Linked DNA regions of Arabidopsis thaliana. Each later gene encodes a partner of the first gene's protein in a complex. Each region holds a gene or a part of one and is shown on either strand. Other genes may lie near its edges.

Region 1 (8,094 bases):
TTTGGAGTCATATAGCTTCATTTTATAGCCTTTTTTAATTACGGGGTAAAATAAATAAAATATTTAATAATATTTATTATGTCTCATAGTTCATTGCATATATTGTAGGCCTTCGAAAGAAGAATAAACATAATAGTAATGTAATCCTTTTGTAATATAGAGTGTATCTTTTGATATTGTGACAACAGCAAAGTATGTCAGATAATGACCAGAATATGGTGTGTATTCCATATCGATGGTGTGGATGTGACGTGCGTCACTAATATTCTCGGAACCTGAGACCGTCCAACAGTACTCTGCAATTTTGATTAAAATGATATTCTTAGAAGAAATATATATTTTATTTTTACTCAAAACTGCAAATGTTGCTCGACGAATATGAAGATAAGTGATCGTTCTATCTGGCTTTAGTTCACTGATTATATCAAGTTTTTCAGCCAAGTCTCAAGGGATGTTCTAGACATCAAAATAAGACAATTATTAAGATCAAAAATCTGACAACTAAAAGGTATATAACAATATTATTCATCTATTATATCTTGATTCTTCTTAGTAAAGTTTCAAGTAAATGAAAACAAGATTGATGTATAAACTTAGAGTACAAGAGCTTTGTGTCATTTATATAAAAGAAATGCTAGAGAACAAATGAGAAAAATTATTTGGGAAGAAGTGCTTTCTAGATCCTCTAAATCATATATATATATATATAATCAATGTATTTAAACAAATAAATAGAAACAAGACATTGTTTCTATGCACTTGCAAGTAAATGTGTTTTACACTTCACTAAAGCTTCCCTTACCACTAGACCACAAATGATTGGGCGTGAGTCATGTTTCTGAAACCTATATCATGTCTTGATTGTACAAATAACGCATGATTAAGCTGTAGATTCTGAAAATAGAATATATTGAAGCTTTCCACAGTTAGGGCCGGCTCATTGGGGGTGAAAGGGGAGCAATATTTCTGGATCTAAATTATTTTGGGTAAATTTAAAGGTCCAATTTTTTTAGTATGAAAAAGTGTCATTTTGAAAGATTTATAAGAATTTTTTAGCATGAAAATAGGTCCAAATATTTTTTTAGTATGAAGAAAGGCCAATTTAAAAGAGTTTTAAGATTTATTAGCATAAAAAGGGCACAATTTTTTCTTTTAGTATGAAAAAGACCAATGTTTAAGATTTGTACATGGACTCTGAATTCATTGAGCTGCCATAGTGAGTAAAATTTGGAAACAAAACTAAAAAAACATAACAAAATATCTCGTTGAATTCAATACAAAAAGCATATACAAACACAACAATGTAACAATTTCAAAATATTTGCTCTTAAGAAATAAAAATCTTCAACCTTGAAGAGCATATGTTAGAACCAAGCTCCTTCTACCAAAACTATATAAAACAATCGAAATAGAGAAGCATATGTACCAACAATGTGGCTAGCGGGTAACTACTCGTCAATACATTACCAATATAAAAACAAAGTCTGTCAGAAACACACTATATTCTGGTTAGTATCTAACAAACTTTGATGATGTTAGAAAATCAAATGATAGACTCCATATTACAAAGGGACTACACTGTTATTATGGCTATTCTTCTTTCAGAGGCCCATACTATGCAATGAACCATGTGACATATTCTCTTCATTCCCATACATGGCTACTTAAATGTTTTACCAATCAGAAATTTGTCGTTCTAATCACGTAATAACCTTTATTAGTATTCACCCGTTTTTTTAAAACTCCAACATTCGCATTCTCATCCGCTGCGTTTAAGTCTGTCGAGCCTATAACCCCCTAAAAATGCCATAATCTTCTTACCAATCACAATTGATATCATCATTTTGAACATTTCAAAATTCTCCCGTTGGGCTTAGACCTTAATTAATGGGTCTAAAGTAGACCACATATCTAACTATGAGTTGTTGTTGGGCTTTGGAAAACTACACACGTGTGAGACAATATCTACCGCACGTGTCAGTGCAAGGCGCCAAAGCCACCATTATCCTTCCGTTATCGTCTATCTTCTCCACCTTCCCGGAATCCAATTCACCAATTCCTAAGCATTCTTCAGAAATCCGAGCTGCTTTTTGCCACATCTATTCGCTTCGAATCTCTTTTCACCAGCTCAAAAACTGTCGCTTTCAATTCCGCTCGTTTCGTCCCACCGCTCCGTGTATTGCTGAACTTCTTCATAGCAACTCAATACCATGGATGTTACTGAAGTTCCATGGCGTCGTCTTCCTCAATTTTCCGTTTCTTCACGCGCCTCGTGGCTCGTTTCTTCTGGGTTTCCGCTTTCTTCGTAAGTTCTTTCATTGAGGCATTTTATCATACACTTTGTCTGTGGGATTCTAATTCCTGTTCTTATCTTCTTTCGATTTTTGAATCTATTGTGGAAGTGGGTTTCTTAGGTTCTGAACGGGATTGAAACATTTGTTTGTACTCAGTTTCTTGAGTTCATATCTCACAGTGCTCTCCCCTGAAACTCATTTTATAGACCAGGGAAAAATATATGCATGAATCCAAAGGAAATGATACTTTGGACTAACTTGGAATCTCTGTTGTTCAACAGATATATGTTCTCTCATGTTGAGCGTGGAAAGACGTTTAGGCTTACCTTGTGCTTTGGGGTCTCTCGTTTACGTCCAAGGTCTGCTATTGTAAGTGCACAACAAGGTAATTGGGAGTACAAAACTTAAAAGTTTTCAGAGAATATCATGGTTTAACTTTCCTGTGGTGTTCTCAGTTTGTCTTTTCATGGAATTTCAGTTGAGTCATGCCTCAACTTGTGAAGTTTCTTTGTTTGCATTTTCAGCCACTGAGATTTTTGTTATCTGTATTCTCAGAACAGCCACCTAGTCGTCTCAAAGGATTATGCGAGGTCGTTTGGATTGTGGAAGCTGATCTGGCAGCCAATGAACATCTCTACGTTACTGGAGATCCTTCTACATTAGGTAGCTGGGAGCCAGACTGCGCAATCTCAATGTATCCTACGGAAAATGATAATGAATGGGAAGCTAAAGTCAAGGTAATCTATTCTTTTGTTTCACTTAAGCCGTAGCGAACATAAGTAGAGATGTATCTTAATTTACATAAAACGTTTGAACGTTTAGTCGTAGTAACAAAAGGAACCAACCTCAATTCTTGAAAGTGAGTTCAGATGTCGTGTTTGCTTTTAACTTAATATGCTTGGCAGATTGCTTCTGGTGTAAATTTCAGGTATAATTATCTGTTAAAAGCTGGATATGGATCTTCATCGGATGTCATCTGGAGACCAGGGCCACAATTTTCGTTATCAGTTCCTTCCTCTGTCAATCAAGACAGAAAAATAATTATAAGGGATTCATGGATGAGTATGAGTATTTCCTCAAAATCACAAGAATCCTACGGATGGGGGTCTTGGATTGATGATGCTTACCTTTTTCCAAACTGTGTTACCCCAGCTCAAAGCGAAGGTAAAATCTCGGTGGTTCCTCCTTGTTCAGTCTCTTTTCATCCTTTGCAAAATGTTTTAAAACTTAAATGCTTCCAGTGGTTTGGCAGATGAATGCACTTCCGCCGATAGTGCTATAGAAGTCCCGAGAACACATCTGAATGATAAGCAAGTAGGAGCTGAATCTTTCTTATGTGATGAGCTTGCAGCCTTTTCGTCAGAGAACTCAAACTTAAGTGCGTTATTTTCTGACAACTATCAGCCTATCGAGGAACCGTGGTTGATTCAAGAATCTATTACCTTACAACATGAAAGGAATATGCAGACTGATAGCGAACAAGATGTTGAAAGCTGTGATGACAATGAAAATAACTTAAATACCGATGAACAAAATCACCAGCTGACTGAGACTCTCTTACCAGATGGTGGATTTTTCCAATCAGAATCCATTGCTACTACGATACTGATCAATTCTTCTATATGTACGGTGCAAAGGATTGCTGTATTGGAAGGTGGAAAGCTGGTCGAGTTATTGTTGGAACCAGTTAAGACCAATGTGCAGTGTGATAGTGTTTACCTGGGCGTAATCACTAAGTTTGTGCCCCATATGGGTGGTGCATTTGTGAATATCGGAAGTGCTAGACATTCTTTCATGGACATTAAGTCAAACAGGGAACCATTCATATTCCCTCCATTTTGTGATGGATCGAAGAAGCAAGCAGCTGATGGTTCTCCGATCCTCTCTATGAATGACATTCCAGCTCCCCATGAAATCGAACATGCTTCCTATGACTTTGAAGCCAGTAGTTTATTAGACATTGATTCAAATGACCCTGGGGAATCTTTTCATGATGATGACGATGAGCATGAAAATGATGAATATCATGTCTCAGATCATCTAGCTGGACTAGTTAATGGAACTGTAGTTAACCATGGCGCTGTGGAAGTTGGATCTGAGAATGGCCATATTCCTATGGAGAGAGGACACTCTGCAGATTCTCTTGATTCGAACGCATCAGTTGCAAAAGCTTCTAAGGTGATGTCGTCTAAGGATAATAAGTGGATTCAAGTTCGGAAAGGAACCAAAATTATTGTGCAAGTTGTTAAAGAGGGCCTCGGTACGAAAGGTCCAACTCTTACTGCTTACCCGAAGCTGAGAAGTAGATTCTGGGTATGAGATATGTTTTATCCCGTTACTCTTTTCCATTTGTTTCTTATTATTCTATTTTCTGAAATAAAGTTTATCCTTATAGGTACTATTGACTCGTTGCAAACGAATTGGAGTCTCGAAAAAAATTTCGGGAGTTGAGAGAACCCGGTTAAAAGTTATAGCAAAAACATTGCAGCCTCAAGGTTTTGGCCTGACTGTAAGGACTGTAGCTGCTGGCCATTCTCTAGAAGAACTGCAGAAAGACTTAGATGGTCTGCTTTTAACCTGGAAGAACATTACAGATGAAGCAAAATCTGCAGCCCTTGCTGCAGATGAAGGTGTGGAAGGAGCCATTCCAGCGCTGCTACATAGAGCAATGGGTCAAACACTATCAGTTGTGCAGGACTATTTCAATGACAAGGTAGTTAGCTCATTTTCCATACATTTCTCCTCCAGTGGCCCCTTTAGGTTCTATGTGTTGAATTCTCAAGTGACAGTAATATCTTGGTTTTTTCCAGGTTGAGAAGATGGTGGTTGACTCTCCCAGGACATACCATGAGGTACATTGCCCCCATTTTGCTCAATTCTATTTTCCATAATAAGAAATGAAGGAGACTTTCCCTTTCATAAACATCGATTTTATTACCCTCTACATTTATTGATTTACATATATCTTGAATGTTATTTTCAAATGCTCAAGTAAAAGCTCCAGTTATCCAACTGTTGCACTTGCAGATAACTAAACTTTTACCGTAATCTAGAATGGCCCACTCAATAGAGCAGATTGTATATCCAAATTATTTCACTAACTAGTATTAGTTTACAGGTCACACACTACCTGCAGGATATGGCACCTGATCTTTGTAATCGAGTGGAATTGCATGATAAGGGTATCCCTCTTTTTGATTTATATGAAATTGAGGAGGAAATCGAAGGTATTCTTAGTAAAAGGTAAGAAGGGGCTAACACTGCACTGTCCGGAGTTATAACCCACCTTTTCCTTAACATATATCTTCATGTAAATTGTATTTTGCCTCTTGCAGAGTTCCACTTTCCAATGGAGGTTCTTTGGTGATTGAACAAACTGAGGCGTTAGTCTCTATTGATGTGAACGGAGGACATGGAATGTTTGGTCAGGGTAATTCACAGGAGAAAGCTATTTTAGAAGTTAATCTTGCTGCTGCCAGACAAGTATGTGATACATTTTGACTACTAGATTGCATATTCATTTGCCAACCTTTTGCGGCAGAAATTCTGCCTCTGAAAAGGGCCCTAGTAATTATTCTATAGAGCGTAATGCGGTCAGATTCGAGCATATTTATGGGTGTATGAATTATCTGATGACTAGTGAATGCCGTAGGAAATTTTTAACATGGAGAAAGAGTAACTGTTTGAGGCCTGCTTGTCTTGTGTAGTTCTCCTTGAAGTCTACTCAAGTTTTGCAATATGCTGATCTTGAAAAGCATTTATTAAGTAATACTCGATGCGATCATGTAACAGATTGCAAGGGAGATTCGGCTGAGAGATATTGGCGGTATCATTGTGGTAGATTTCATCGACATGGCAGATGAATGTGAGTTAGAATGTCATTTTTATTCATCCAATCACATATTCAAATATTCTCGATGTGCAAATCCCTTTCTTGAATGATGGATGTCCTGTATACTCTTGTTTTTTATTTTTGGGTTTCAGCAAATAAGAGACTCGTTTATGAAGAGGTTAAGAAAGCCGTGGAGAGAGATAGGTCACTGGTAAAAGTATCAGAGCTGTCTAGACACGGACTTATGGAGATAACAAGAAAAAGGGTATAGTCCCAACTTGTGGATGTTTATCTCTTTCTGTAGAGCTTCTAATTAATTCTTTTGGCATAGCACGCCCCCTCGATTTATACTTATTGTAGTGAATCTATTTTTTTCACAGGTTCGGCCGAGTGTAACATTTATGATCAGTGAACCATGTTCTTGCTGTCACGCAACTGGTAGAGTGGAGGCACTGGAGACTACCTTTTCCAAAATTGAACAAGAGATTTGTCGGCAGCTTGTGAGTGTTATAATCTCGATTCTTTTCTGTTACTTCTCTTTCCAACCAAATGAAGAACATCTTGAATAAATGATTGTCGTTGTTGCCTACTATTGTTGTTCTTCATAATTTTCTTCATCCTTTTCGATGATTTTTTGTTCCATGTTTTGCCTAAAAATTTCAGGCAAAGATGGAGAAAAGAGGAGACCTGGAAAACCCCAAATCGTGGCCAAGATTCATATTGCGGGTGGACAGTCATATGTCAAGCTTCTTGACTACGGGGAAGAGGACGCGGCTTGCAATCCTCAGTAGTTCCCTGAAAGTATGGATTCTCTTAAAGGTACCTTCAGCACACTCTTACTCCTCTGTCGTGATTCGCTTTAGCCAGAAGCTTGCATTGATGAGGCTGTGTCTGAATATTAGCTTTTCTGACACAACCGAGGAATAATAAATGTCTTTTGTAGGTTGCTAGACATTTCACCAGAGGAACCTTTGAGGTTAAACCGTTCATGGATGAGAAGACAGTAAACGAAAGACAGCATCAAGTTGCCATTTCACTGCTCAAGAAAGCTGACGCCATAGCAGACTCCTCCGGCAAGAAGAAGCTCACTCTAATTCCAATTAAGAAGGAGAAGACCAGTGGTAAACAAAGGCGATGAGACTATTTTTCTTTCTTGGCATCACTTTTGTTAGTTGTATCAAATAATACTGTACCGAATCAATTTTTGTGTATCAATATCATCTTCTTCCCAAGATTTTGCATTCCAAAGAAATAGAACCAAACTAGGACATATATTAGTCTAAAAGTCACTGAGACAAAACAACAGTAATGGAAAATACAAAGCTATTCTACAATACAAAACTGGAAACAAGTGGTACAAGACGATTCAAACAACAAATAAATGAGGAATATGACAGAGATCAGGAAGTTGCAGCATTGCAGGTCCCAACTCCATCTTTACAATCGTTTGTAAGATCGTTGAATGTTTCAATCTGCTTCTTCCCTCTCAAGAATACTTCTGTGTCAACAGATGCTCTCATGTAACCATCAAATTCGACCGGGTTGCCTCCATTAAGCTTAGTAGTCTCTGAATACCACTCACTGCTCTCATCCCAAAGATCTTTGTAGTCGTAAAGGAAATGAGTGGCGTACTTATCTTTCAAAGGGTTGAAGAAGGATAATTCTCCTTCATTTGTTGCGATGTAGAGATGCCTTCCTTCTTCAACTTTGTCCTGCAAGGTCGACAAGAGAGCGCTCGGGGAAGTATCCGCTTCAAGATTAGGCCAAACCTCCTTGTTTCTTGCTTTCTCTCCTCTCTCAATGTGTACAGCATCGTAGTCCCAGTTTAACCTTGATGCAATAGCAGAGACGATTTCCATCAACCTTCTTGATTTCCATAACAGATGCCACGGTCGTTTAACAACAGATTCTGCATCTCCTTCACAAACCCTGTACCAATAATTGTCTGGTTCTACAGATCCAAACTTC
Region 2 (4,583 bases), on another chromosome or scaffold:
ATGATCTGATTAAATCCAATGACTCAAAAAAAGCCGTCATGATTGTTCTGGTCCTTGTTGTTTCTTCTGCTGCAGATACTTTTTTTTTTCTTTCTGAATCCATTTTTTTCAGCTCACTTAGTTGTTTAAAACTGTCATGTAGAATCTGTCTTTTTTTTAAAAAAAAAAAAATTTAAACACGTTGTAAAATCTGTTTTTAGTTACCATGCTTGAGTTACTCTATTTGCAGAAACATACTAGAGAGAAGCTCAGTGACCGGGAACTCTTTGGTGTAGTCATGAAGAATCTATTCTATGGAAGAATAAGCTACTTACACTCGGACAAAGGAAAAGAGATGGCCCCAACCATGGGAACAAATGAAAGCACGCTACTTGTCCGTAAGCTACCAGTTGTTGATACAAGGTATGTTTCTTGGCATTAAGGGTTAGTCCTTTTAGTTCCACTTACATAAACAAGTTACCACTTGGTGTTCTATGAAATGTTGCTCCGTATGCTAGTTATCTAGTGGGGATATGGGATCATGTTTATCTTTCTGAAGTCATAAACGTTGGATTATTTGTGTTTCCTTTCTTGTGTAGGAGCTGTACTTAATTTCCATTAGCTAAAGTCATGGGCTTTTACATTATTTTTTATTTCTTATCTTGCATTTGGAAGTTGTAACTTGTATGTAGTGTAGGAGAAAGAGGAAATCGAGGATTAAAATGTTTGCAAAAAGTTATAACAATGCTTGTTGTTTTGCTTATGATAAAATGTGTAGTGGGTGTATATGTATATGTCTTCTTACTTTGACAGAATGAATTGGACAGAATTGAGTTGGTTGGAACAGACAAGTATATTTAACTCCGATGAGCTCATTGAAAATGTAAATTCTTGGTTTCAGCTTTTTAATGTATCCAATAATCAGTCTAAACCCTAGCTCGCAGCCTTTTCTAGGTTCAGTGTGTATATCATTAGTGATGCTCATCAGGATTTCTTGCTTTGTTATCTAGGTACATTTTCGTAGGGGATGCTGTTGTCTTGAAGGACCCGAATGAAACAAATAAGTATATAGTCAGAAGACTAGCAGCTTTAGAGGGATCTGAAATGGTATCAAGTGATGAGAAAGATGAGCCTTTTGTTCTCGAAAAGGATCAGTGCTGGGTCGTTGCTGAGAATCAAGAGATGAAATCTAAAGTACACCACTTACTTTCTCCCTTACATAATTACTTATCCATGTAGCGCTTACATAAGAGAAACTAAATCTATGTATACTTTGGTATGTATTAATAAGGAAGCATATGATAGTCGAACATTTGGTCCAATTTCAATGGCGGACATAGTGGGAAGAGCTATATATTGTCTGAGGACAGCAGTGGATCATGGTCCAGTAAGCAACAGGTAAGAGAAGATTTCTATTGTCCCCTATCAGCTTTATCTTTCTGTCATTCTTTTATTACTGAGGAAAAACAAATCCTGGAAAATGTTGCTTTTATCAGTGAATTTGCCATGGACGAGGATTCCCCAATCCTGGCGGTAGAACTTGACGTGGATGAATTGGCTAAAGGCCACAAGGCGTCATAATGAAGAACCTTTCTTGTACCACATTTTCATTCACTGTGTCGATGTTTCACTTATAAACTCCAATTTAGTTGTCATTGGAGGTGTTTGTGGCAAATGTTGGCCCGTTGGTACTTAAGCTTAATACGTCGGATGCTGTTGAGTGTTGACTTGAGGAAAAGGTTCTTCATGAGCTTCATCCTCTCTATAATAAACAACCATTTCTATAGAGAATCCACCCCATGGTTTTAAACCGAACCGGGGAAGACTGTACCGTTAATATTAATATGAAATTGATTTCTGAATTCGGTTTGGAAGAGTTGTAACCGAGATTAGACCGAATATAGATTATTGGTTTGCGTTAGGGCAATCGCTTCTGAAATGTCACGGTTTATTTTATGTTTTGTCGGCAATTTCACAAAGCCCATAAAGCCCAATATCAACATTTTTGTGTTACCAAGATAAGCCAGAGAAAACGCGAGAGTCGACAAGGAAAAGGCAATGCAAGAAGAAGCTTAAATCTCTCTTCTCTGCTCCTGAAGTCTGTTCATGGCGATGTCGGGAACTTTCCATTTGACTTCTGACTATGTCCCTGGTACTTCGCTATCCTGTACCCTTTTCATGTCTCTCTCTTTCTCGCTTGTCGATAATTTTTCTGTTTTATTTTGATAATTGTGAAGGCATCTATCTATGTGCGTCTCTATTTGTTTTCCGGGAATATTGTTACTGTTCTTCCTTGAATTCTCGCCGAGCACCTAGTGTTTTATGCCCCTGTCACTGTAGGCGGAAACGGCATGTGTGTGGAGAAATCATTTTGCTTTTGGTTTGTTGTCCACCAGTTGTTCGATGAAATGATTCTCTTGAGTTTTATAGACTTCTGCTTATTCGTGTGTGTAATGCAACTTGCTTCTGTACTGGCCTGCCTCTAGGGTTCTATGAATAACGAATGTTCTATCTTTCAATCTGCTTACTCTATGTTGTGTATTTGCTTGGTAATACAGGTTACACACTTTCAGACAGCCGTTGCTTCTTTAACTCTGCTGTTTCAAGAAGAACACTTGCCATATTACCTTGCTCTTCCTGTCTCGATCACAAGAATGGGCGTCTGAAATCTGTCCCCAATAGAAGTTCTTTTGTGTGCCGAGCAAGTTCTGGCGGCTATAGGAGAAATCCTGATTTCTCAAGACTTAATAAGCATGGTTACCGGGGAAACAACAGGCAAAGCGGAGGGAGAGAAGATTTTGATATCGAAAACTCTGATATGTTGTCTTCAAGAAATGGGCCTTTATTCAACCTGTCTAGTTCCCCCAAATTCCAAGCTACCTCATCCCCTGGACCTAGAGAGAAAGAGATCGTGGAGCTTTTCAGAAAGGTTCAAGCTCAGCTCCGAGCTCGTGCTGCAGCAAAGAAAGAAGAAAAAAAGATTGAAGAAGCTTCTAAAGGGCAGGGAAAAGAAAGTGAAACTGTTGACTCTCTTCTTAAGTTACTAAGGAAGCACTCGGGAGAGCAAAGCAAGAGGCAAGTTAGCAAATTTAGCAGCCAGGGAGAAGTACAAGGAGATACTGTTGACAAACAAGATCGCACCGGAAATCTTGTCACTTCAGGGAACAAAGATAATAATGCATCATCCTTTACCAGACCAACATCAAGCTTCAGAAGAAAGTCGCCAGTACCAAGATCTCAATCACCGCCAGCTTATTCTAGCGAGGCAACTTTTGATCAATCATCAAGTTACAGTGTAACCTGGACCCAGAAGAAGGATACAGTAGAGTTGCATGATGAGCCTGAACATGAGCCTGCGTATGAGCATGAGCATGAGCCTGAAAATGAGTCAGAACCTGGGCCTGTGACAACTATGCTTGAACCAGATTCAGAGCTGAAACCAGAGTCATCATCATTTTATCAAGAGGAGGAGGATGATGATGTTACTTTTGATGTGTTATCACAGGATGATGGTATTTTAGATGTGTTATCAGATGATGATGAGTCTCTCGATGATGCTGATGAAGATAGTGATGAAGCTGAGGAAGAAGCCGTGAAAGACTTGAGTGAATTGAAGCTGGTCGAACTTAGAGGCATAGCAAAGTCACGGGGACTAAAAGGGTTGTCAAAGATGAAGAAAGCCGAATTAGTGGAGTTGCTTGGTAGTGATTCCAGCTGAACCTTGCTCTAGTATGCACCAGTTAAAATGAGTTACTTTCTCTGTATTTTGTTTGTTTGGAAAATGCTGGCTTTGATGTTCTTGATTTACTAGGATTACCTTCTTCTCTTTTAAGTTATTATTATTACACTGATGTACCTTGTCAACTACAGTTTTCAGGACGCATTATTTACTGTTCAATCATATGGATTTTCAAAAATCTATTACCAACACAACAGGTTGATACTTGTTCGGACACTTAAAAGAGTCTATAATATAGGTCACTCAAATCTCTCAAGTAGCAGCTACAAATGCTCTGAGACTCTAAAGGTGTAGTGTTTGCATGTTGTTGAAGCTCATCAGGAATGGTATTAGAGTAGCTAAACCGCTTCTTTGGTTCGGAAACTTACTCCAAGGCTTTATCAAAAATGTAATTGGGTTCGGCTGGCTGATTGAATGTGGGTCCAGACCTAGCCAGGGTACTTGATAAAAATCATCACCACTCTCTGGTTTAGTTGTCACTTGTCAACCACGTTTTTTACATTTTGTGCTTCTCATTGGTTGAGGACCATTATTTGGCTTAGTTTAGTTTAGTTTAGTTTAGTTTAGTTGATGGTGATGAATTTATTATAACTTATATTGGATTCATCGCTGGATCATCGATAATACCAATGGTGCTTCTTAGGTAATGGTTTTTTTTTTTTTAAGATATATCGGTTTAAATTTATTAGCTAAGAACCAGTATCTGTAAAATCAAGATCGCGCACTACAAGAAATTGCTACGGCCAAACAAAACCAATTTCTGACGAGCATTCACATCTTCTCTTCTTTTTAAATTTTGGGCTTAGAAACCACAATTGCTTCCATGCATGGAGCAATTGAGGATCACATTAATACATTAGTTTGA

Evidence for each region.
Region 2: RNEE/G (region 1) and RHON1 share a complex: the UniProt entries of both Arabidopsis thaliana proteins name them as parts of the chloroplastic degradosome-like complex.

Annotation. Positions count from the first base shown.
Region 1 is NC_003071.7:1,472,751-1,480,844, forward strand, and holds RNEE/G (RNAse E/G-like protein), read left to right. Parts: upstream 1-2,020; 5' UTR 2,021-2,210; coding exon 2,211-2,305; intron 2,306-2,575; coding exon 2,576-2,663; coding exon of another isoform or gene 2,664-2,679; intron 2,680-2,818; coding exon 2,819-3,031; exon of another isoform or gene 3,032-3,199; coding exon 3,200-3,458; intron 3,459-3,535; exon of another isoform or gene 3,536-3,546; coding exon 3,547-4,607; intron 4,608-4,689; coding exon 4,690-5,007; intron 5,008-5,104; coding exon 5,105-5,146; intron 5,147-5,412; coding exon 5,413-5,537; intron 5,538-5,629; coding exon 5,630-5,777; intron 5,778-6,086; coding exon 6,087-6,159; intron 6,160-6,278; coding exon 6,279-6,391; intron 6,392-6,506; coding exon 6,507-6,626; coding exon of another isoform or gene 6,627-6,695; exon of another isoform or gene 6,696-6,789; coding exon 6,790-6,945; intron 6,946-7,069; coding exon 7,070-7,264; 3' UTR 7,265-7,460; downstream 7,461-8,094. Other genes in the region: AT2G04280 (calcium ion-binding protein), read right to left, coding at 7,527-8,094. UniProt on the Arabidopsis thaliana protein: Involved in intercistronic processing of primary transcripts from chloroplast operons. The endonucleolytic activity of the enzyme depends on the number of phosphates at the 5' end, is inhibited by structured RNA, and preferentially cleaves A/U-rich sequences.
Region 2 is NC_003070.9:1,891,581-1,896,163, reverse strand, and holds RHON1 (Rho termination factor), read left to right. Parts: upstream 1-1,973; 5' UTR 1,974-2,085; coding exon of another isoform or gene 2,086-2,131; exon of another isoform or gene 2,132-2,216; 5' UTR 2,217-2,482; coding exon 2,483-3,697; 3' UTR 3,698-3,896; downstream 3,897-4,583. Other genes in the region: AT1G06200 (Peptidase S24/S26A/S26B/S26C family protein), read left to right, coding at 230-402, 990-1,173, 1,271-1,377, 1,476-1,560. UniProt on the Arabidopsis thaliana protein: Binds to and supports processing of specific plastid RNAs. Associates via its C-terminal Rho-N domain to single stranded regions of 16S and 23S rRNAs or to rbcL mRNAs. May be involved in targeting transcripts to RNases such as RNE or RNase J.